4 linked regions of the Drosophila melanogaster genome follow. The protein of the gene in region 1 interacts with the protein of each later gene in a pairwise test. Each region holds a gene or a part of one and is shown on either strand. Other genes may lie near its edges.

What was found.
Region 2: the proteins of Secp43 (region 1) and ens interact in a two-hybrid assay, tested with the Drosophila melanogaster proteins (one large-scale study listed by BioGRID).
Region 3: the proteins of Secp43 (region 1) and lobo interact in a two-hybrid assay, tested with the Drosophila melanogaster proteins (one large-scale study listed by BioGRID).
Region 4: the proteins of Secp43 (region 1) and Prp39 interact in a two-hybrid assay, tested with the Drosophila melanogaster proteins (one large-scale study listed by BioGRID).

The regions. Positions count from the first base shown.
Region 1 is NT_033779.5:4,452,641-4,456,324, reverse strand, and holds Secp43 (tRNA selenocysteine associated protein), read left to right. Parts: upstream 1-1,871; 5' UTR 1,872-1,962; coding exon 1,963-1,998; intron 1,999-2,059; coding exon 2,060-3,034; 3' UTR 3,035-3,156; downstream 3,157-3,684. Other genes in the region: Gs1l (GS1-like), read left to right, coding at 1-211, 587-999; ND-B8 (NADH dehydrogenase (ubiquinone) B8 subunit), read right to left, coding at 1,187-1,269, 1,331-1,437, 1,499-1,596; CG15439 (uncharacterized protein), read left to right, coding at 3,374-3,684.
Region 2 is NT_037436.4:4,131,502-4,136,222, reverse strand, and holds the start of ens (ensconsin), read left to right. Parts: upstream 1-1,672; 5' UTR 1,673-1,720; coding exon 1,721-1,769; intron 1,770-2,400; coding exon 2,401-2,454; intron 2,455-2,566; coding exon 2,567-2,674; intron 2,675-4,010; coding exon 4,011-4,267; intron 4,268-4,333; coding exon 4,334-4,473; intron 4,474-4,721. Other genes in the region: RfC4 (replication factor C subunit 4), read left to right, coding at 240-404, 457-1,287.
Region 3 is NT_033777.3:25,190,734-25,195,361, forward strand, and holds the start of lobo (lost boys), read right to left. Parts: upstream 3,044-4,628; 5' UTR 2,922-3,043; coding exon 2,505-2,921; intron 2,434-2,504; coding exon 2,305-2,433; intron 2,074-2,304; exon of another isoform or gene 1,552-2,073; coding exon of another isoform or gene 1-1,551. Other genes in the region: dan (distal antenna), read left to right, coding at 1-1,242. UniProt on the Drosophila melanogaster protein: Key component of the nexin-dynein regulatory complex (N-DRC), essential for N-DRC integrity. Involved in the regulation of flagellar motility. Involved in sperm motility. Required for the sperm to enter in the coiled storage seminal receptacle (SR) tubule.
Region 4 is NT_033777.3:28,810,300-28,817,867, reverse strand, and holds Prp39 (pre-mRNA processing factor 39), read right to left. Parts: upstream 5,767-7,568; 5' UTR 5,754-5,766; coding exon 5,714-5,753; intron 5,704-5,713; exon of another isoform or gene 5,474-5,703; coding exon 5,382-5,473; intron 5,301-5,381; exon of another isoform or gene 5,227-5,300; intron 5,164-5,226; coding exon 4,317-5,163; intron 4,251-4,316; coding exon 4,054-4,250; intron 3,988-4,053; coding exon 3,862-3,987; coding exon of another isoform or gene 3,658-3,861; exon of another isoform or gene 2,721-3,657; coding exon 2,446-2,720; intron 2,387-2,445; coding exon 1,070-2,386; exon of another isoform or gene 1,012-1,069; coding exon 705-1,011; 3' UTR 514-704; downstream 1-513. Other genes in the region: CG1523 (uncharacterized protein), read left to right, coding at 1-396; wdn (wings down), read left to right, coding at 6,783-7,568.

The sequences.
Region 1 (3,684 bases):
CGCCTTTATACTGTGGCCACCGAAATGATCCTCGAGCCCTACGGCAAGACATATCCCTTTGAGATCAAGGAGCAGGTCATGGGCCTGCAGACGGAACCGCTGGCCCGGTTCATGGTCGAGCACTACGAGCTGCCGATGTCGTGGGAGGAGTACGCACGCCAGCAGCGCGCCAACACCGAGATCCTGATGCGGAACGCCCAGTTGATGCCAGGTACTAATCCCAGTTCTCGCTTTGCCGTCACGTTTCAGACACGGAGAGGATATACGAGGAGGTCACCCGGCAAATAGCCGCCTCCTTTGGCCGCCCGTATCCGGAGGAAGTGCGTTTCCGGGTAATGGGCACCACGGACCAGCGCTCGGCAGAGATAGCCATCACCGAGTGCCAGCTGCCCATCACAACCGGAGACTATCTCAAGCGGTACTCGCAAATGTGCCACGAGCGATTCCACAACGTACCCCTGCTGGAAGGTTAGCACCACGACCAGAAAACTAATCGGCATTTCTCCCTATAAATACTTCTGCTTCAATTACTATCCTACTGTGATTAAAGCCGTTTGTTAATCGTGTGCTTCCTTCCCCGTTCAAGGTGCTGAGCGCCTGCTGCGTCACCTGCACGCCAACAAGGTACCCTTTTGCTTGGCCACCAGCTCCGGCGCCGACATGGTCGAGCTGAAGACGGCCCAACATCGGGAGCTGTTCTCCCTGTTTAACCACAAGGTGTGCGGTTCGTCGGACAAGGAGGTGGTCAACGGCAAGCCTGCGCCCGACATTTTCCTAGTGGCCGCCGGCAGATTCGGTGTGCCGCCCAAACCGTCCGACTGCCTGGTGTTCGAGGACTCGCCGAACGGCGTGACGGCTGCCAACAGCGCCGGAATGCAGGTGGTGATGGTGCCGGACCCACGACTGTCCCAGGAAAAGACCTCGCACGCCACACAAGTGCTGGCCTCGTTGGCGGACTTCAAGCCGGAGCAGTTCGGGCTGCCCGCCTTCACGGATTGAACTTAATGGCTGACGTACTTTTTGTAGCTAAAAGATGCTATTGCTGTAATTGGAAATCGATGTACCTACCAAGAAAATGAATTTAAGTGTAAATGTTATCCCATATACACGTATACGTATGTGTGCATAAAGCATCTGGCTTTGCCTTTATTTTGCGCCTAATCTACATAGTTTTCCAGCGTAAGTTCTATTTGCCAACCGCTTCCAGGTTTTTGTGTATGTCAGGAGCAGCGTGGTTGGCCAGGGAGAGGGACACTTCCTTGCCGTTGCCTGCGGACATGGGAATCGATGTGGGGGAAGCTAGCAGCGCACATTATGCTAATCTACTCACCATAGCGGGCGTAGAGGCGGGGCTGGACGCCAGAGCACTCGCGCACGAGGATCGGCAGGTCGGGATTGCTCTTCTTCAGGTTTGGATAGAACCTTTCCACGTATTCCCTGTAAAGGAACGCTGCTTTAGCAAATTATATAATTTAAAAGCGGAAAATGACAATTTCACCTGACTCCCTTGGAAGTGTCTCCTTTGGGATCCAGAATGATTCGCAGCTCCTTCAGTTTTGGAGTAAAACTGGCCAATCGGAACAGAGTAATACCCATTTTGGCACCACTTTTGCGATTTTGAAATGTTCAGGAAGTAAGTCTATTTAAATGTCGGTACTACGCAGGGTTGTCAAACTGTCTTGGATTACATATTGGTATTATTGTTTTTTAAAAACAAATTACTTTTTGGCTCAAACTAAAATAACGTCTAACTCACCAGAGACGCGAACCATTAGTTGCATCGTTTGAATATCCATTCCAAAGACAAGAACCAAGGCAATTGTCTTGGCTGACACCAGGTCAGCATTTGATTGGCCCACATCGATAAATACCGATAAATGCTTGACGGCCAGTCACTCATTTGTTTTGGTAAACATCATTTGTCTCTGGAAAATATTCAATTGAACACGTATTTGAACAATTATGGCGTCCGTGCATTGTCAACTGTGGATGGGAAGCGTAAGTAGCAACGTGCATTACCCCAGACACATGACCCTTTAAGCCCGCATGGCCATTTCAGCTGGAGTCCTACATGACGGAGAACTTCATAATCGCCGCTTTCCGGAAGATGGGCGAAGATCCCACCACGGTGCGCCTGATGCGCAACAAGTACACGGGCGAACCGGCCGGCTACTGCTTCGTCAACTTCATATCCGATGACCATGCGCTGGACGCGATGCACAAGCTAAACGGTAAGCCCATTCCGGGCACCAATCCCATTGTGCGATTCCGTCTTAACTCGGCCAGCAACTCGTACAAGCTGCCCGGGAATGAACGCGAATTTAGCGTCTGGGTGGGCGACCTCAGCTCGGACGTGGACGACTATCAGCTGTACAAGGTGTTCTCCAGCAAGTTCACATCGATCAAAACCGCCAAGGTGATCTTGGACAGCCTGGGGTTTTCCAAGGGTTACGGCTTTGTGCGATTTGGCATCGAGGATGAGCAGAAATCAGCGCTGTACGACATGAACGGGTACATCGGATTGGGTACCAAGCCCATAAAGATTTGCAATGCCGTGCCCAAACCCAAATCCGAGTTGGGTGGTGCTGTGGGCGAAGGCAACACAAACTATGGATATGGAAGCGGTATGACTGCAGCAGGTGGCACCGACTACTCGCAGTACTACGACCCCACCAGCACCTATTGGCAGGGATACCAGGCCTGGCAAGGTTACTACGAGCAGGCCGGTGCTTCGATCACAGATGCGGCTGCATACTACCAGCAGGCCATGTCGCAGTCGCACTCTAATCCGCAGACTCTGGCCCAGCACGCCGAGGCCTGGAGCGCACAACGCAGCGCCCAGTACGAGCAGCAGCAGCAGCAGCAGACCGCTTCCGCCGCCAATGGAGCTGAGGATGAGAACGGACTGGTGGAGCACAAGTTCGTCCTGGATGTGGACAAACTGAACCGAGAGGCCATTGATGCCGACCGCCGTCTGTACGATGCTCTGGAGAGCTCTAAGTGGCTGCCCATTGAGCAGCTGGAAGTCTTTTAGGATACTTATCTACTATATTTATAGCTTACTATAATTACAGCTTAGATATAAGCAAAAAATATAAAAGCCTGACTTGTAGCGTATTATTGTTTTTGAGCCTGCTATAAACTTTTATGCTCCTGAATCTACATTTCTTAACAAAGGATTCAAAATAAAGGATACATTTTTACAAAATATCCCTAATATCCTTACAACAGATGTATTTTATCGATATACAGACGGAATACTATTCTGTCCGTGTCATCGCCATGTCGGCCTATCGACTGTCGATAGTTTCTGCCTTGGCCCGAGACTTTCGGAGATTGTGCAGACAATTGCGGACTAAATAAGCGTTGAATCATGAAGCGAGCGCGGCAGCCGAAGATTACTACGCAGGCCCTGCTCGATTTTGACTTGGGCGAGAGTTCCTCGGATAGCGACTTCCTGCCGGACATCGACAACTGCTCGGACGGATCGAAGGACGAGAGCGATGGCGACGGTAGCAGCAGCGACGCCAGTGGTGGCTCCGATTCTGAATCGGATTCGGATGCGGAGAGCGAGGATTCAACACTGCAGCTCCGGCAGCTGTTGGCGGAAACGGAACCGTCACCACTGGAGAACGGGATCAATGGAGTGGACCACTGCGCAGCTTCCTCCCCGGCAGCACCAGT
Region 2 (4,721 bases), on another chromosome or scaffold:
TTTATATATTGTTGAGCGTGTGTTCTTTTCCTCATTTACAGAATATTTTATGATCTGAACGTTTTTTTTTTATATTTGAATTTCAAATAATTACCTTTATGGACCTATCGGTGTTGCTAAGAAATCGATAAATGTAAAAAATACCAGGCCTAACCGTTGTGTTTTGGCGCCCAAGAAACGGCCACACTACAGCCCCACGCTTCAATTTGTTTGTGCGAATTTGTGAAATTGCACATAAAATGCCGGAAGAACCAGAGAAAACGGCGGACGACAAGCGCAGTCACTTGCCGTGGATTGAGAAGTACCGCCCCGTGAAGTTCAAGGAGATAGTGGGCAATGAGGATACCGTAGCAAGACTATCCGTATTCGCCACCCAGGGAAATGCACCCAATATTATTATTGCTGTGAGTTTGTGAGGAGTAAAATTAGTTTGGCGCCACTAATTGTGATCTATAGGGTCCTCCTGGCGTGGGCAAGACAACCACCATCCAGTGTCTGGCCAGGATTCTCCTGGGAGACAGCTACAAGGAGGCTGTCCTCGAGCTGAATGCCTCCAATGAACGAGGAATCGATGTGGTCCGCAACAAGATCAAGATGTTTGCTCAGCAGAAGGTGACACTGCCGCGGGGCAGGCACAAGATTGTGATTCTGGACGAGGCGGACAGCATGACGGAGGGTGCCCAGCAGGCACTGCGCCGGACCATGGAGATCTACAGCAGCACCACTCGTTTTGCCCTGGCCTGCAACACCAGCGAGAAGATCATAGAGCCTATCCAGTCCCGCTGCGCCATGCTACGATTCACCAAGCTGTCCGATGCGCAAGTTCTGGCCAAGCTCATCGAGGTGGCCAAGTGGGAGAAGCTTAACTACACGGAGGACGGACTTGAGGCCATCGTATTCACTGCCCAAGGTGATATGCGACAGGGACTGAACAACCTGCAGTCCACCGCTCAGGGATTTGGCGACATCACCGCTGAGAACGTCTTTAAGGTCTGCGACGAGCCGCACCCAAAGCTCCTAGAGGAGATGATCCACCATTGCGCTGCTAACGACATACACAAGGCCTACAAAATCCTGGCCAAGCTGTGGAAGCTGGGATACTCGCCGGAGGACATCATTGCGAACATATTCCGTGTCTGCAAGCGCATCAACATCGATGAGCATTTGAAGCTGGACTTTATCCGTGAGATCGGAATCACCCACATGAAGATTATCGATGGTATCAACTCGCTGCTGCAGCTCACCGCCCTTCTGGCCAAACTCTGCATTGCCGCCGAGAAGCATTAGATTTAATATGAACTATAGGTTAAAGAAATCTCAGAGATAAATAAAATTGGAGATAAATAAGTCCTTTTCAGTATTGAATACAAGTGTACCTAAATTTTAAACTGGGCACCGTTAGTTAACAGATTAATGTTAATTTCTATGTCAGCGCACTTAGAGCATATCGTCCCTAATGGAGTGTTAATTATTGCGCCCTTGGTATCGGAAGCTGAAATTATCATACAACATTAGATAATGTATTTATAGGACCGAATGATCATTAGTTTTTATACATAAAACCGGAGTTAGTTTTTATACATAAAAACCAATACGTTAGTTAACATTTCTAGTATTTTCGTAGAGCACACCACTATACAACAGTACGGTCGCATTAAGTAGATTATCGCAGCACTACAGAGCTGGCCACACTGTTTGCAGCGCTAAAGTAAAGTGAAATATGGCGAGTCTTGGGGGCCAACACGGAAATATTTCGACTAATCCAGAAGGTACGCATTGAAAACAACCCGCTGAGAGTGCGAAATCGAAGGACGAATGCCCCCGCGTCGAAAATCGGCCAGGATCTACGCGTTTTCGGGGCGTTTTCAGTGGCCAAAAAGTGCTGGTCGACTGCGCAGCAAAACGGCACTCACACCACGGCCAAAAAGCAAAAACGGAGTGAAGAGAGAAAAACGAAGAAAAAAAACAGCGAGGCGAGAGGCACAGAAAAGAAAAGAAGAGAAAAGCCGAGAAGCCAAAAGTGTCTGCCCCCTAGAAATGGGGGATATATGTATTTCGAGTTCCCCGATTCCGAACCGGAGTTTTGAGTTTATAAATAAGTTCCAGTCGGAAAAGTCGTTGGAACAAGAGAGAGGGAAACATACATTATTTTCTCGTACTTCTCACTGTCTCTCTCGCTTCGTCATCGCAGCTGCTGCCGTGCGCTTGTGTTCGTGCGTGTGTGTGTGTGTTTTTGTGTCCCCCTCCTTCCTCGCTCTTTCGCCTTCTTGTCACCTTTCCTTTTTGCCAAAACGCAACGGCAATTGATTTTCCCCACACACGAAAGCCAAAAGTCCGTGTAAAACTCCGGAAAATCGCAGCGAAACTCAATCGTCCATTTTTCTCGTACTTCTTTTGCAGTGGAAAACACAGCCAAGCGACCCGAAAGTCGCGAGGGCAGCGCCGAGCGAAAAGGTAAGCCTTCTATGCGGATTATCTTGCGAGTTACATAAAATCGGCACCAATGTATATCACACATACGCACTATATGTAATCGCTTTAACATCACCTATAACTCGAACCACAGCCCACGCATTCGCACCTGCCAAGATCTCGGGCTGCAGCGCCGGCGCAACCTTGCATTGGTTCGCCCAGGTGGGCGGTCAAATCTCCGCCAGTGAAGACGACTCTCAAGGTAGTTGGCATTCCATTCAGGCTGCTCCAAAGTCTTCCACAGCCACGCCCCGTTCTGTTCCGCCTCCAAAACGAATGCTCCGAATGTTTGCCGCATGATCTCACTAACAAATAAGACCCATAGTCCGCCTTATCGCGATTTTAACCGTCACTGGTCTATTGCAAGTCTTTCATAGCTGTTTTTCTAATAAGAAAATCTTCTTATCTATTCTCACCCAGTGACACGCTTTAAATCACTGTAGTTTCTAAACTGTCTAGATGTTACCCACTAAAGTGGGTTATTAAAAACTCAAAGCATCTTCAATTAACACCTAAAAGATCAAAATGTTATCTACACTTAAGGTCTAGCTTGATTTTAGATGGCAAGTCCAACTCTAATTATACAAATTTTAAAAATATGTATAGTCATATTTGACTAAATCATTGTGAGAATGCAAAACAAGGAATGATTAAGTTATTGGGAATTTGATCTTAATAACAATGTTCTCAAAGTTTGTTAAGTTAAATTGAACTACATGTTATTACGAGAGCAAAAAGGAAATGGATTTTATCAAGCGAAAAATCAATTGCAATGTTTTTGGCTTTCCAAAAACACAAGTAAATATGGCATACAGTGGGTTAAAATCCAGCAATTTTGCCTGCGACCTTGACAGCTGATAATTTCCCATTTGCAAGATATTTTCGCACCTGTAACTGGCAAAAAGATTGACTTGCAGTTGTTCCTTTGTCGTCTTGCTTACGTCATGGAATTCCAAAAATATCTTAACCGATAAGGCGATAAGAACCAGTTCCCAGTTCGATTATGCAGACTTTGGCAGCCAAACCGCATGCTACCAATATTATTGTTATTATTGTTAATTTTTTTTTTGCATTTTTCCGCCTCAATGTCATTTCAATAGAACAAAATGTGCGCCTGCATTAGCAATTTGCTTTCTATTTTCCTTTTATCATTTGTTTTTTTTGTTGTTCGCCCATTTTGCACATAGGCAAATTTGAAGCGGGGGCGGCGGTATTGTTGTCCGAGTATTTGTGCCATATTTGTTATTGTTGCTGCTGCTAGTTTGTCAATTGACCCACAAAATGCGAGTGTACATTGTCGATGACGTCAGCTCTCGGCTCTCATGTAAATAACTCGCCGGCAAAAGTCGAAAAATGGGGTATAATACTACACATATTAAGCAGATATTTATCGATTTTTGTTGGGCCACAGGTAGCAACTGATGAAAATATTCCCAGTTTTATTTGCTTGCGAACCGTAACTTGTTTATCCAAATTCAATTTATGCCCTTATAAGTATGTGCGAATTCGAATCTCTATTCATTTTGCTACGCTTTTAGCGTCCAAAGACCGTGAGGAGAAACTAAAATATGCCCGCGATCGCCAAAATGAGGAGCGCCACCGGAAAATCGAGGAACTGCGTGCCCAGGCGGAGGCCGCCCAGCGGTACCGTGAACAAAAGGAGGAGGAGCGCCGTCGACGCATCGAGGAGATCCGTACCCGGGACACAGAGAAGCGCCACCAGGTGGAGGAGCGCAAGAAGGCCATTTTCGAGGCCGAGAAGGAGCGCCGCGAGTACATCCTCAAAAAGAATCAGGTGCGTGCGTTATCGCTTCGATTCCAATGAACTTCTATTATAATTCTTGTTTTTGATCATCCACAGGAACGCGAGTCCCGGATAGAAGTGAAAAAACGGGACAGAAACTCCATCGGCTTCGCATTTGGCTCCTCGACTCCCCGCCTGCTGGATGTGCCCGCGGATTATGGTCTGGTATCGCCCAGTGCCTTTTGGGGTCAGCGGAGGTGAGATCCGAATGAAAGTTATCTGAGCACAAAGCCAAAAACTCACACAAAACGCGCACACTAATATGTAGCCATTCATGGCTATCTAGATTAGTATATATTTTGGCCGATTTCATATGTGCTTTGCGCTGCACATGACTAATTAGCGCTGCACTCTGACTGGCATTACTTAATTATTTTTATCAGTTCTTGAACTTTTAATGACGAAATTGTTTGCCAAAATATATAAATCACAATTAGTATAATTA
Region 3 (4,628 bases), on another chromosome or scaffold:
GTAAAGAACTGGGCCAAACAGAAGCCGGGGGAGGGCCAGGGCAGCCTCAATCTGAGCATCAAGAACGAGGGCAAGGGAGGCGATATCAAGAGTCCCAGTCCTTCGATTGCTCCTTCGCAAATGGGCGGGCCCATGACGCTCTCCAATCTGGCCGAAGATCCCTTGCTCTACTGGCTCAAGTCGCAGCAGACCATGTTGGGTCTGAATCCCCTTTATCCGCCCACAATTCCCATGGGCGTGACCAGTCCCCCTATCAGATCTTCCACGCCGCAGCACATGAGTCAGTTGGCACAGACTCCGCCGATACCCTCGGCTCCGCTAACACCCTCGTCCACACCGTCGGGCAGTCTGGACGAGAAGAACGCGGCGTGGTACAACTGGTGCAAGGCGTTCGGTGCCAGTCTGCATACCCTGAATCCCAATGCCGCCACCTTGGCCGCCCTGCAAGCCAACCAACTGCAGCAGCAGGTGGCCACCACGGCCGCAGAGGGGGGATCCATGGGAGATCCCTCGAACATACTGTACTCCCATCTCACGAAAGAGACTGAGACGCCGTCGGTGAGAAGTTTGTCCTCCAACGAACAGAATCCCGAGGCTGACGAGGCCACCGAAACCGATCTCGATGGCGAAGTGGAGCCGGAGGCATCCGGGAAACCGGAGGATCTCTCAGCCGCCGGCAAAGTGATGACCCCTTCGCAAAGTCCCATTGCCCATTCATCAGGCAGCAGGAGTCCCGAACCAAAGGCGAAGACCAAAACCCCAGAGACCACGAATTCCACAAGCGAATGCAAGAAGATCCTAGACAATATGCTCTTCAAGATGGGCGGAATGGAGGCCACTGGTCCGTTGATGCCGGAACAGGGATCCTCCGAATCGGAGGGCAGCTTCCAGGACACCAGCAATCCGCATACGAACAACAACGATGTGAGCGCCAGCAATAACAATAACAATAATAACTCAAACAAAACGGACGAGGAGGAGAAGGCCAAGTATCTGGACTGCACGGCGGACGAGGATATCGAGGCCATCCGCCATGGCGAAAAGTTCCTGCAGTGGCTGGAGAATTGCAGCAATCCCCGCGTGACGGCCGTGCAGCTGATGCAACTTCGTTTCCTAATAGCCGCCATCAAGTCGGGCAACGAGACACCGATGATCGAGAAATCCGCTTTGCCGGAGGACAGCGAGGAGCACGCCGCGGAGGAGGAGGGCAGTGGGCGGGGCAAGAGTCGCCGTCGCAAATAGGAAAAGCCAAAGTTGGCGCCCACGGAGCCAGCCACGGATACAGAGATAGAGGATAGCCCAGACGGTGCTCTGCACGATGCAGAGCCAGGACCCGGTGTCCTGGCTACAGATGCAAATGCAGATACCGCCGAGGGCTCGACGAGGTGCCATGTCTATGCGCCGGCCGTCTACCGATCGTCGGCCACCCTACTCAGCTCCCTGTTCTTCCCTCCCTACGAATTTGTACATTGTGACCTCGACGATGACCCCGACGACTGCCAGATCACGGGCGAGTACCAGCAGTACGACGAACTGAGCTCCAGCAGTTAGACCACATGGTTCCACGCATCCGGAGGACTCCACTGAATTTATCTCCTAGCTGTGAAACCTATCGAGCATACTTTCAGTATCTTTCAATTCAATTCGAATCCACTCCATTGCATTGCATTGCATTGTATTAATTAATTAATCGTACGGTTAACGTGTATATATCGAGAAACTCTATTTGTAGCTATTATGCATTTCTTTTTGAACGGAAAGACAACCGACTCTGTTTTGTTAGTTTGTTTTTTCACCCAATGATGCATTCTAGAAAAATGTTATAGCCCTTAGTTTTTGTTACGAAAAAGAAAAAATACTTTTCGAACTGCAAGGTGTGTTGGCGCGAATGGCATGCATTTGATATCAAACGTTTTTAAATTTCGTATATTAATAACTATGGAAATGTGCTCAAAAGAATTTTCTTAATTCGGAATTAATGCGATATTTAAATAAAAACATTTACAAATTTAAATGTAATTTTAAATACATGTTCAATAAAAAATAATTAGATAATTTTTATGAAACTCTTAGAACTGTCGTCGTATTTACTTACCGCTGTCGTATTGGAGGGTCTAAGTGGTTTTTCATATATATCTACTAAAATACCTAAATGTTTTACTTTTATATTTACAAGTATAAATTGCCTTGGTCAAGTTATTGAACATTTTAGAACGCATAAACTTTTAAATATATTGCTACATGAGCTCGGAACATAAGAATAATGGATATGTGATTGGTTCAACTTTGCCATAATAGACTTACCAAATTTATGGGATCCTGCAGTGGCTCATACTGAATGAAATCGGCGACAAACTTGGCAATTTCCTCGACACTTGATATGAGTTGCGTGTAAATAAACGCCGTTGGCCTGATGGTGGTGCAAACGAATTTCTGTAAGTTGGTTAAGAGTGGCAATTTATCAAAACGCTGGCCACTAAAGGAGCAGATGGTGCTGACTTCACCTGTACTTTGCATTCGTTGGGCAGGGCCAAGACCATGGCTCGTCTCTTTGGGTAGCTGAGAACCAATTGCTTCCGGAAATTCTCAGCGTACAGCAGGAGCAACCGCTCCTTGGGCGAGAGGGTATAGTACGATGGAGGATAGCACTGGGGACTGTTTTCGAACTCCTCGACTGTTTCGGGAAAGGATAAATCGATCTTTCCGATATTGAGCGATGGTTCTCCTTCGGATAAACTAAATTCACTAGATCCCATTTCCTCCATTTCCGCCTCGAACTCGCCCTCCATTTCATCTGCAAAATCCGATTCCGAACCTTGCGAGCGCCTCTGCTCGTCGATTTCCTTGAACTTGGCGCTATAGCGACTCGGGTCGATGTTGCTCACCACCTTCTTGTACTTCTGAAACAGTACTTTCGGCATTTTGGCGTGGTTACAATTGCCGGCTCTTTAAAATAATAAACAAGAAACTTCGTTTCTATAACTACGGTGTTTGTAGAAAAATATATATTTTAACGGCTAGATGTGACAGAAATTGAAATATGTATTGTGTTGTGCTAGTCTGTTCATTGTAGCAAATAAAATATATAAAAATTGTAATTTGCTTAAAAAACTTTCGTAATTCTAATTAGTTTTGTGTGGGTTTCGCTTGAAATAACTTCTTATAAGAACGAACATTTCCTTCTTCCGGTTGAAAACTTTACTTTACATTACTTTACTTCCTGATTCTGGTTTGCGTCTGGGCTAAATAACCGTTGTACTGGTTTGTAACTGCTTTGGCATTAGATTTGAACTTCTTTACCCTGCTTCGTATATCAATTTCTACTGCTTTTTTCTCGGTTAAGTGTCTACATGTAAAATTGAAGTAGGGTAACAATTTTACCCAAAAGTCTTTTTGTAACGAACATTTTTAAAATAGAGCAAGCAGGTTGTGAATAGCATATGGCCATCACCTTTTAGCAAAAGAATAGTAGTAAGCTTCATGTCATGAAGAGAATAACTTTAAAATTGACATTAGTATTTTTAAAATAGTAGGTAAGCCCTTGAACGATTGATTACCTACTGCTTTTTAGCCTTGAATATTAAGGCATAGCTATATTTTAAGAAAATAAAAAACTATTTAATTTCCATTCATTTCGCTAGTCATTTTCAATTAGCTATTTTTTCAATAGCTATTTTCTATAAAATTTGATGGAATGTATCAAAGTTATATTTGTATTATAGCACAGAAGGCACAAAACTTCCCTACTTATAAATATTTGGTAAATTGTATGACAAGTCACATATTTTAAATGTGAAAAATTGATATAATATATAGAACTACTTCTTCACCTTGTGCATTTTTTGTTGATTTAATTTAAATAAAGCTAATTCCACATTCAACCTAATCTTTTCCCTGGTTACCTACATACATACATATGTATATTTCGACTAACTTTATTTATTGTCATTATGCATATTACATAATTACCCGTCGAAAACTCAATGCTGGTCTTCCGCAGCTGCAGTGGCAGCGACAGTGGCAATGGCTTACTTAGATGGCACATTTTTTAGGGACCACCCCCTTGTCTGCATGCACCACAAATTGCATTTGCATTATTTATATTGCATCAATAAAACCCGCATTCAGGAATAATTAGCGAGCGCAGAACTTGTCGATGAGCAGGAGCGGAGACCAGCGGATTGAGATCGGCGCAGTTGATCCGTTTATGGCTGGCGCTAGGATTTATTTGTACTTCCTTTCGCATTTGAAAGGCGAGCGTCTACCTGGTGAGCCTGGTGAGAGCGGTACATTCATGAAACCATTTGGCGCTTTTAAGCGACTCAATTACGCACTTTGATTCCCACATTGGCCGCTAGTAGTCGCCTGTCGTTGGGTGTCGCCTTGCTCTGCCTCGTCCAGCTTGGTCCTGTGGCAAGGACTGAGGACTGGACGCGGTCTACCTGGCCGCCGTCTGAGGCAAGATGCGTAAGCACTAATTTTTGTGTGCGCTCAGTTTGCCGTTTAATTGCCGCGGCTCGCGCTAAGTGTTCCCTAGAAAAACAAAGGCAGGCGCTGCGCGTCGGAGGTTCAATCAAGCACATGTCGTCCTGGGCTGACTCCTTGGCCAAAAGTGGTCCTTGCGCAGG
Region 4 (7,568 bases), on another chromosome or scaffold:
CGTCTGCGATCATTCAATAGTCCTGTGACAACGCCAACGTTCAAGGAAAACGGTCATTCAATACTGGTGAATGCCAAGAAACTGCTTTACTATGCCGCCGAGACCAACACCAAACCGGGCTTCATCAAGGAACCTGGATTCTCCGCGGACGGTCGGGTTGTCTGCTCGCCGTACGGCAATGGGGTAAGACTCTTTGGTTACAGTGAGGACTGCTGCGACTATCCGAAATGTCAGGCGTTTGAGGAGGTGAAAAGCAAACCGCGGAAACTGGTTGAGCTAGCCAAGATCACCGAACACCAGGACGTCGTTCTGTGCGCCAAGTTTAGCCCCAGGGAACCGCTCCTTGTAACCGGATGCAACGGGGGCGAGGTGACCTGGTATCGACCCAACCTGTAGACTTCAGTTGAGCCGGGCGAAGAGCGCGCTCACTGTCAATCTGTATATTTAATTTTCTATTTAGGCATAATTCGACTTATTTCAAGCATATATTGGCTAAATACAAGCAACGCGATTATGGTGGACCGATAAAAAGCTGGTATATTTTATTTTTCGCAATGGTGGGGTTATTTTGTGGGCTCAAATAGGGGTTGATAAAAAATTACAATTAGATGTGTACAACTTAACAGAGCAGCAAGGCAAAACTAAACAAGCCGTAGCGTCTTAGAGCTACAGGTGGCGGAGTGGGTTACATCTAGGCAGCGAACTTAATAGTAGTTGCCATAACCGCTCCACTGGCCGTAGTTGTAGCCGCTACCACCACTGTTGGCGCTGGCCCCACCGGAACCGTAGCCCCACTGATTGTAGTAAGAGTCGTAGGACGCCTGTTGTGGCGTCTGTGAGGGATAGGCTGCTGCGGTATTCTGCTGACCATAGTATGGATTTGCTGCTCCATAGTTGTAGCCTGCGACTGCTGCGGCCGAGCCACCATTGTTGTAAGCTGCCGCCGCGGATCCTGTGGGGACAGGACCTTCTTTGCTGCTTGATGAGTTTTTGCGACTAGGACTGCCATCACTATTGGAATGTCCATGATTAATGAATGAGTGTGGATACATCTTCATGGATTTCTTACCTTTTCTTTTGCGCTTCCTTGGCTTTAGTGAGTGCCTGCTGCAGAGCGCGCTGTGCGTCTTGTAGACCCCTGGCCGTGCTGCCGAAATCCTCAAGGAACTCCACTTTGCGCTGGGCAAACAAAACCTTCTGATCGGGTTCGATGTCCGCACGAGCCATGAACTTATCCATAATTTCGACTACCTCCTGCTCATCGACTTTTGGGCGCTGTAGGCACAAATCGATCATTTGCAGGGCCACACGAGTGTTGGCTGGATCACGTTCCAGCGCCTGCTGCAGGGCGGCCAAGCCGGCGTCGAGATCATGACAGATTTTATTGAGGAAACGGGCATACTTGATGGCCAGACTGCCGGCAATGCCCTTGTTCTTTGTACTCTCTATATAGTGCTTGTACAGCTCGCGACACTTGTCCAGTGCTCCTCGACGCCTTTCCACGTTGATACGACGATAGGAAAGCTGCAGGAGATTGGGGCAGCGCTGATCGATACGCTGCAAAATTTCAGCGGCGTCGTCAAAGTTCATCTGGCATTCCTCGAAGGCGGCCCACATCAGGTGCAGACTCGGTTTGTCCGGATGATGGATGCGACAGGCGCGGCGGTAAACATCACGTACCAGATCCACAACTCCGCTCTGATCCTCCAAAGACTCTAAATAACGAAGCATCTTCAGCCAGAACTCGTCATACAAAGCACAGGCGATTAGGCACCTTTCGAACAAAACCAGGACTCGCTCGCGATCACCCTTTTCGATCTCGAAATCCAAGTAGTCCTTCCAATTCTTGAGCTGTGCCCTCTCGAGTGGCTTCACATGGAAATAAGGCCGCTTGATGCCCTCCTCGAAGGACCAGCGGGCTGTCACTGCGCTAACGGTCAACTTGTGGACTTTGCGCCGCGCCGAGATAGCCCTGTCCCTAATGCTGACCACCTCTTCGTCATTCAGAGTGCTAAGATCACTGAAATCGATCTGCATTGCCGGCTTTGAAGCTGCATGCGATGACTCGCTTTCGGTGGTCAGATCGGTAGTACTATCTGATTCATCGACTTGAGTTTCACTTGTATCTTTTGGCGACTTACCAACACCGCCCCCGACAGTTTCTCGCTTCTCCTTGTCCTTGTCTTTGTCCTTATCCTTGTCCTTCTCACGTTCTCGCTCCTTTGAGTCTTTGTCCTTGGAGCTGCTGCTGCTGTCCCGGCGATGCTTCGACGAGGACTTGGAGGACTTGCTCTGCTGACGTTCGTGGAAGTCTTTGCGCAGACGGATCACCTCCTCGTTTGCAAGTGTGATAGTTACATCATGCTGATTGATCAAATCTTGGAAACTGAAATGTGCATGTACATTATTCGCATGTTTCACAAAACCAATTTGAGTGGAACTCACTTGTCGAAGTGACCATTATAGCCCTGTGTCGGTATGGCCAGAAGTCTATCGTAGATCTGGACCACACGGTGGTACCGCTTTGACTCGTTCTCCCAACGAATGTAGGCATCCCAGAGTTTGTCCGATCGAAATTCCAGGCCGCACGCCTTCACTGCCCTTTCATACTGGGAGCGGACGAATGTTTCATCATCTCCGTGATTGGACTTAACGTGCATTAGGTAGTGGATCCACAGATCCACGGACAGCGGAATCGCCTCCAGTCCGCGCTCAAACACCTAGGATTTGGTCATTTCGTATGTTCGGTACAAGTTTTGATTTTTTCATTTATTGTTGATTGATCGCAGAAGAGAAATATAAAAATATATTCGTGGTTTATAGTAAGATTTCAAGAGTTAAGTGCTCAGATACTTAAGGTTATCGTTTTGATGTGAATGGTGTTCGGGCTTAAAAGCTAACTTAGCGACTTAACAAGTACACGGAATACATAACACACAGGTTGTAGTTGATTTCTTTTTTGGCACTCGATTTACAACAAAATTCACAAAGAGACTTAAAAATTTCATTTAAACGCCATTTGTACTTACGACTGTACGAGATGCGATCTCACTATTTATATCGTGTTGAAGAAGGATGGAGGTAACGTAACTGAAGAGGTAACTGGTGATACAAACGTACGAAGATCAGAAAGTAGACGGATCGTACTTCGAGTAGACGAACCAGTCGCTTTCGGGTTCAGGTCGGTCTGGGGTTCGAGGGTCAACAGAGTTGAGCTAGTCTGTGCTGAGTTACAGCGTGATTTGTGCGACACAGGAGTGGCTTATGCTTAAACGGTCCAATTAGTGTCGTGAAGATTAAGGACAATATCTCAGGGGCTAAGATCGCCAAAAAAAAAGTGCTAAGGTGTAGGGAGTACGGAGTGGTAAATAAGGTCGACGTCCGGTCTCGAAATTATGAATTTGGTGTAACTAAGGTTACAAAACAGAAACTACTTTAAAGAAACGTAAACAAATTTGGAGGCAATCTCTATACGCGACCCATTAAGTCCATTTACTTAGCTTAGCCTTTGAAACAAATTGCCAAGCTCCCCCATAAAGCTTTCACCATCTAAAAAAATTAAATCCGTACCCTTTTTAGATTCATCTCCCGTAAAAAGTATTTAGCAGACACGAACCCTATGAGAAAACACGATCCTAAGTGGATGCTGCACTAGTCTCATGGCAAGTTTGGTTTTGTCTTCTCAATTTGGTGTATTTTGGTAGATGTTGCATTTATTGAATGTAGTATTTTTATTAGGTCATAATAAATTGCATTTAACAACAAATATATGAATATCAATTGTAATCGTAATTGTAAGCGTAGTACAAGAAATTGCGAAAGATATTTATTTGCACGACCAAATGTAAGTGGGGTACTCACCTTATAGCAGTTTGCCTTGATGCCCTTGCGCTTCTCGTAGTCGGCATACTTGCGCCAATATCCGTAGCAGTAAGGATAGTGGGACAGGAATGTGTCGTAGGCCTCGCGCGCCGCCTCCGCATCAGACTGTTGAGAAAGAAGAAAATTGCTTATTTAAAGTTCAAGATATGCGGCGTTCGGCTAAATAACCACCTCATTGTCAACATATTGCAGCAAGTACGTCCAGCCGGTGAAGTCGGTGGAGTCTTCTTTGACAGCTCTCCAGTACTTATCTAGGTCCGGCAGCTTCTTTCGCTCCTTTTCCTTATCCTTATTATTATCTTTGTCCTTATCCTTCTCCTTATCTTTATCGCGCTCCTTTTCCTTCTTTTTCTCCTTGGGCTCCGATTCTGTGGGTTTAAATATTGTGAGTCAAGCTCTACCAACTAATTAGTCATTGGAAGATTAACAATTACCTTCGACCTTGAGTTTTTTCTCTGAGGGCTGTGCGTCGTTGCTCTCAGATGTGGGACTGCCCGGATTATATTGCTCGGAGGATTTATCCTTTGTGCTTGATTCATGACTGCTTGCATCCTTATCTTCGGTGCTCTTAACGCTTTCGTTTTCCGCCTTGCGCTTCAAAGGTGCCTTGGGCTCAGTGGCGGTGTTATTGTTATTACTGGCGGGCAGTTCATCCTCCGAGATTACTTCAGCATCCTCTGGCAATTCAGCCCGCTGCGGTGCTGGAAGCTCTTCATCGGAAACTTCCTCGGCATCATTTATTTCAGGCTTGCTGGGCAGAGGTAGCTCATCCTCGGAGACTATCTCTGTGTTGACAATGGTTGCATTGCTGGTGTCCGCATCGGCCAGATCCTCGGCAATGGCATGTTGTGAGCTGGAGTCCTCAGAGGAATTCATTTTCTCCATCTGCGGCTGCAGGGAGTCTACATTGTACTCAAAGTCCGCCTTCTTGACATTGTCACTCTCGTCATTTCCACCCACGGAGGGCAGGCTGTTGGCATTATCGCCGGCTAAAGAAGCCAGTAGGGTGTCCACGCCAGCCTGACCGCGTGTCTCTTTAATATCATCACTAGTCTCTGAATGCAGCTCCGCCACCGTGCCAAACGGGAAGGAAGAGCTCTTTTCATCAACCCCAGCAGCTTCGGCTGGCAGCATTTCCACGTCATCCTCTATCTGGTGCTGAGTCTCCTCGAATTGGGGCTCCAAAGCAGGTGCCTCCGCAGTGTTTGTCCCTCTAAAGGGCTCCTCCTCTTCCTGAACCATGACCACTTGCTCTTCGGCCTCCTCTTCGTGGTCACTTAGCTGAAAGGATTAAAAGTCGTTAATGAAGGTTCCCGGCATTTCTCAGAGCATTTGTGGATGCTGTGCCTTCAGTTGGCCCTTGCAGGTAATCACTCGCTCCTCCAGGGAGAAGAATCATGTGCGGATGGAACAACGCCACACCCACACTGGAAATTGCAATCGTTTACATCATTGGCTGATGATCTGGAAGAGGCGGTAACTACGTGGGATGAACTGACCTGTACGTTCCGCTTGGATGTGCGCCGGGTGCTTCTGGTTGGCAGCGATGCAGCCGGGGATGCGGCCTTCCGACCAGAACGTGTGCGGCGACCTGGAAAACGTCAATTAACTTTCTTGGTTAATCCATGCGGTTTACATAAACTGTACGCGCGGTGTTGTGGGTTGTTCGCTGCCTCGTGATGTTCACTTTTTTCCAAATGCTTTAATGGGCTGCTCCAGCTAACTGTCAGTGTCAGCTACCGAAATGGGCTAGTAAGGACTGAATTTTTAATCAACGGTCACTAGGTCCGGTCGAAGGAATGCACGTATTTGTAATTTTTCATCAATTTACCTGGACTTTCCATAACAACGTTTTCGCCCTCTGACGCCATATTAACATTGCAACGTGGTATCGATATACATGTCCCGCCAATATCGATATCTCTTTGTTTGGTCAAGACTGACGACTGACTCATAGCTATATTTTGAATATTTTTCAGAGGTTTTTCGAATTTCGATATTTATCATTTTTTAGCATTGATGAATGAATTATATACAATCTATCAAAAAATATAATTTAATAACGAAAATAGCCTAAGTGCTCAGTGTTTTTCCAGTTCGGCGAACTAGTTCATTTTTTGGCGTGCGCATGCAGAACCTATCTCAACATACAAATTCTAGCAGAAATTACATGTTCCAGCTAGAAATATAATTTAAATATTTTATGGTAAGAGGACTTTAAATATCACCATAAATAATTCTTAATGAAAGAAGATAAAATTTGTTTAATGTTACACATATTATAAATTAGTGGGTTATTAAGTTAACATAAAAAACATAAACAAATAACACAATCATTGGGCCTACTTCCTTTAATATTTAGGGTTTGAATGTTCAATGCATAGGATTTTAAAAGCCCAAAAAATTGTTATAGTTTCTATACAACATAATCGTGAATTATATCAAGTAAATACAAACATGTAAATGGAATTGGTAAGTAAAATGTTTCCTTGTCGGACAAGATTTCTTTTTGAGTCAAGAAATCTCTTTAAATGTTATTTAGAATGGTGAATCCAGTCGTGAATTAAATATAGCTAATAACCCGCCTGGCGAGCATCACTCTTAGCGGGACTGCCACTCGTGCGCGTCTTCTAACACTGTTCTCAAAATGGCGACTCGAGAATTGTAAGCGTGACAAAAACAACAAAGCCAAGGCGCATTTCACAATAATTAAATGTTTTTCGATCAATTGCGGCGCGTTTAATACAACGAAAGCGATCGCGATGAGTGAATTGGGGACCCAGTGACCGGGCAACGGCGACCAGTGAACGCAAAGCGTCAGCGGCGCGGCGAACAAAGACAAAATACGGCGAGCGAAAACGCCGACCGCATAACCTGTACGTGTAAGCAAGGCAAGGCGAATGGAAGGCGGCAAGGGCGAGGGCAAGAGAATGAAAGAGGAGGCGCCAAGCAAGAAGTTGCCGCCTAAAATCTACGGCGGCGATGCGGGCACCCCCACGAAGGCGGCCCACGACGAGATACTCAGCTCTCTGCTGCGGATCAACAACTTCGACTCGATATCGAGCATCAAGGACGAGTCGCTGGACATCGATCTGTCGGCGTGCGTGACCATCAGCTCCGCCAGCCTGGTCAATGGTAACAGTCTCTCCTCCACCGACTTTTGGCGCGTTTTGGACGAGAGTGCCCAGAACAACACCGAGCTGAATCTATCCTCGGACGTCTGCCGCGATGACTTGGCTGCCACCAGCTCGTCAACCGTGCCCAGCACTCTGACCAGTGATAACCACTCCAGCTCGGAGTTTAGTGTGACTTTCCTGCGGCCCGAGCCCCCGAATGCTTTCACTAATTCCCCGTTTAAGAAGACTTCGTCCAGCGGCACCTCCACACCCGTAAAGCTATCGCCCGAGCAGCTCCACCAGCAGCATCAGCTCCAAATGCCCCAGTCTCAGCTGCTGCAACGCAAGCCAAAGCTGCCGGCGGCGACGGCGGTGCGTCTGAAGGTCTTTAAGGAGGAGCCGCCCGAGGAGAAGCATCCGCCGGAGCAAGTGGTCACCAAGGTAGAGGTGTGCGAGTCTGAGCTGCTGCCGCCATCGTTTACCATATTCCAGCAGGCCAAATCGGCTGAATCGGTGGCGGATGCGGCTAGCATGCCGCCTCCGGCTGCTTCGGAAACGAAGCCGTTGGAG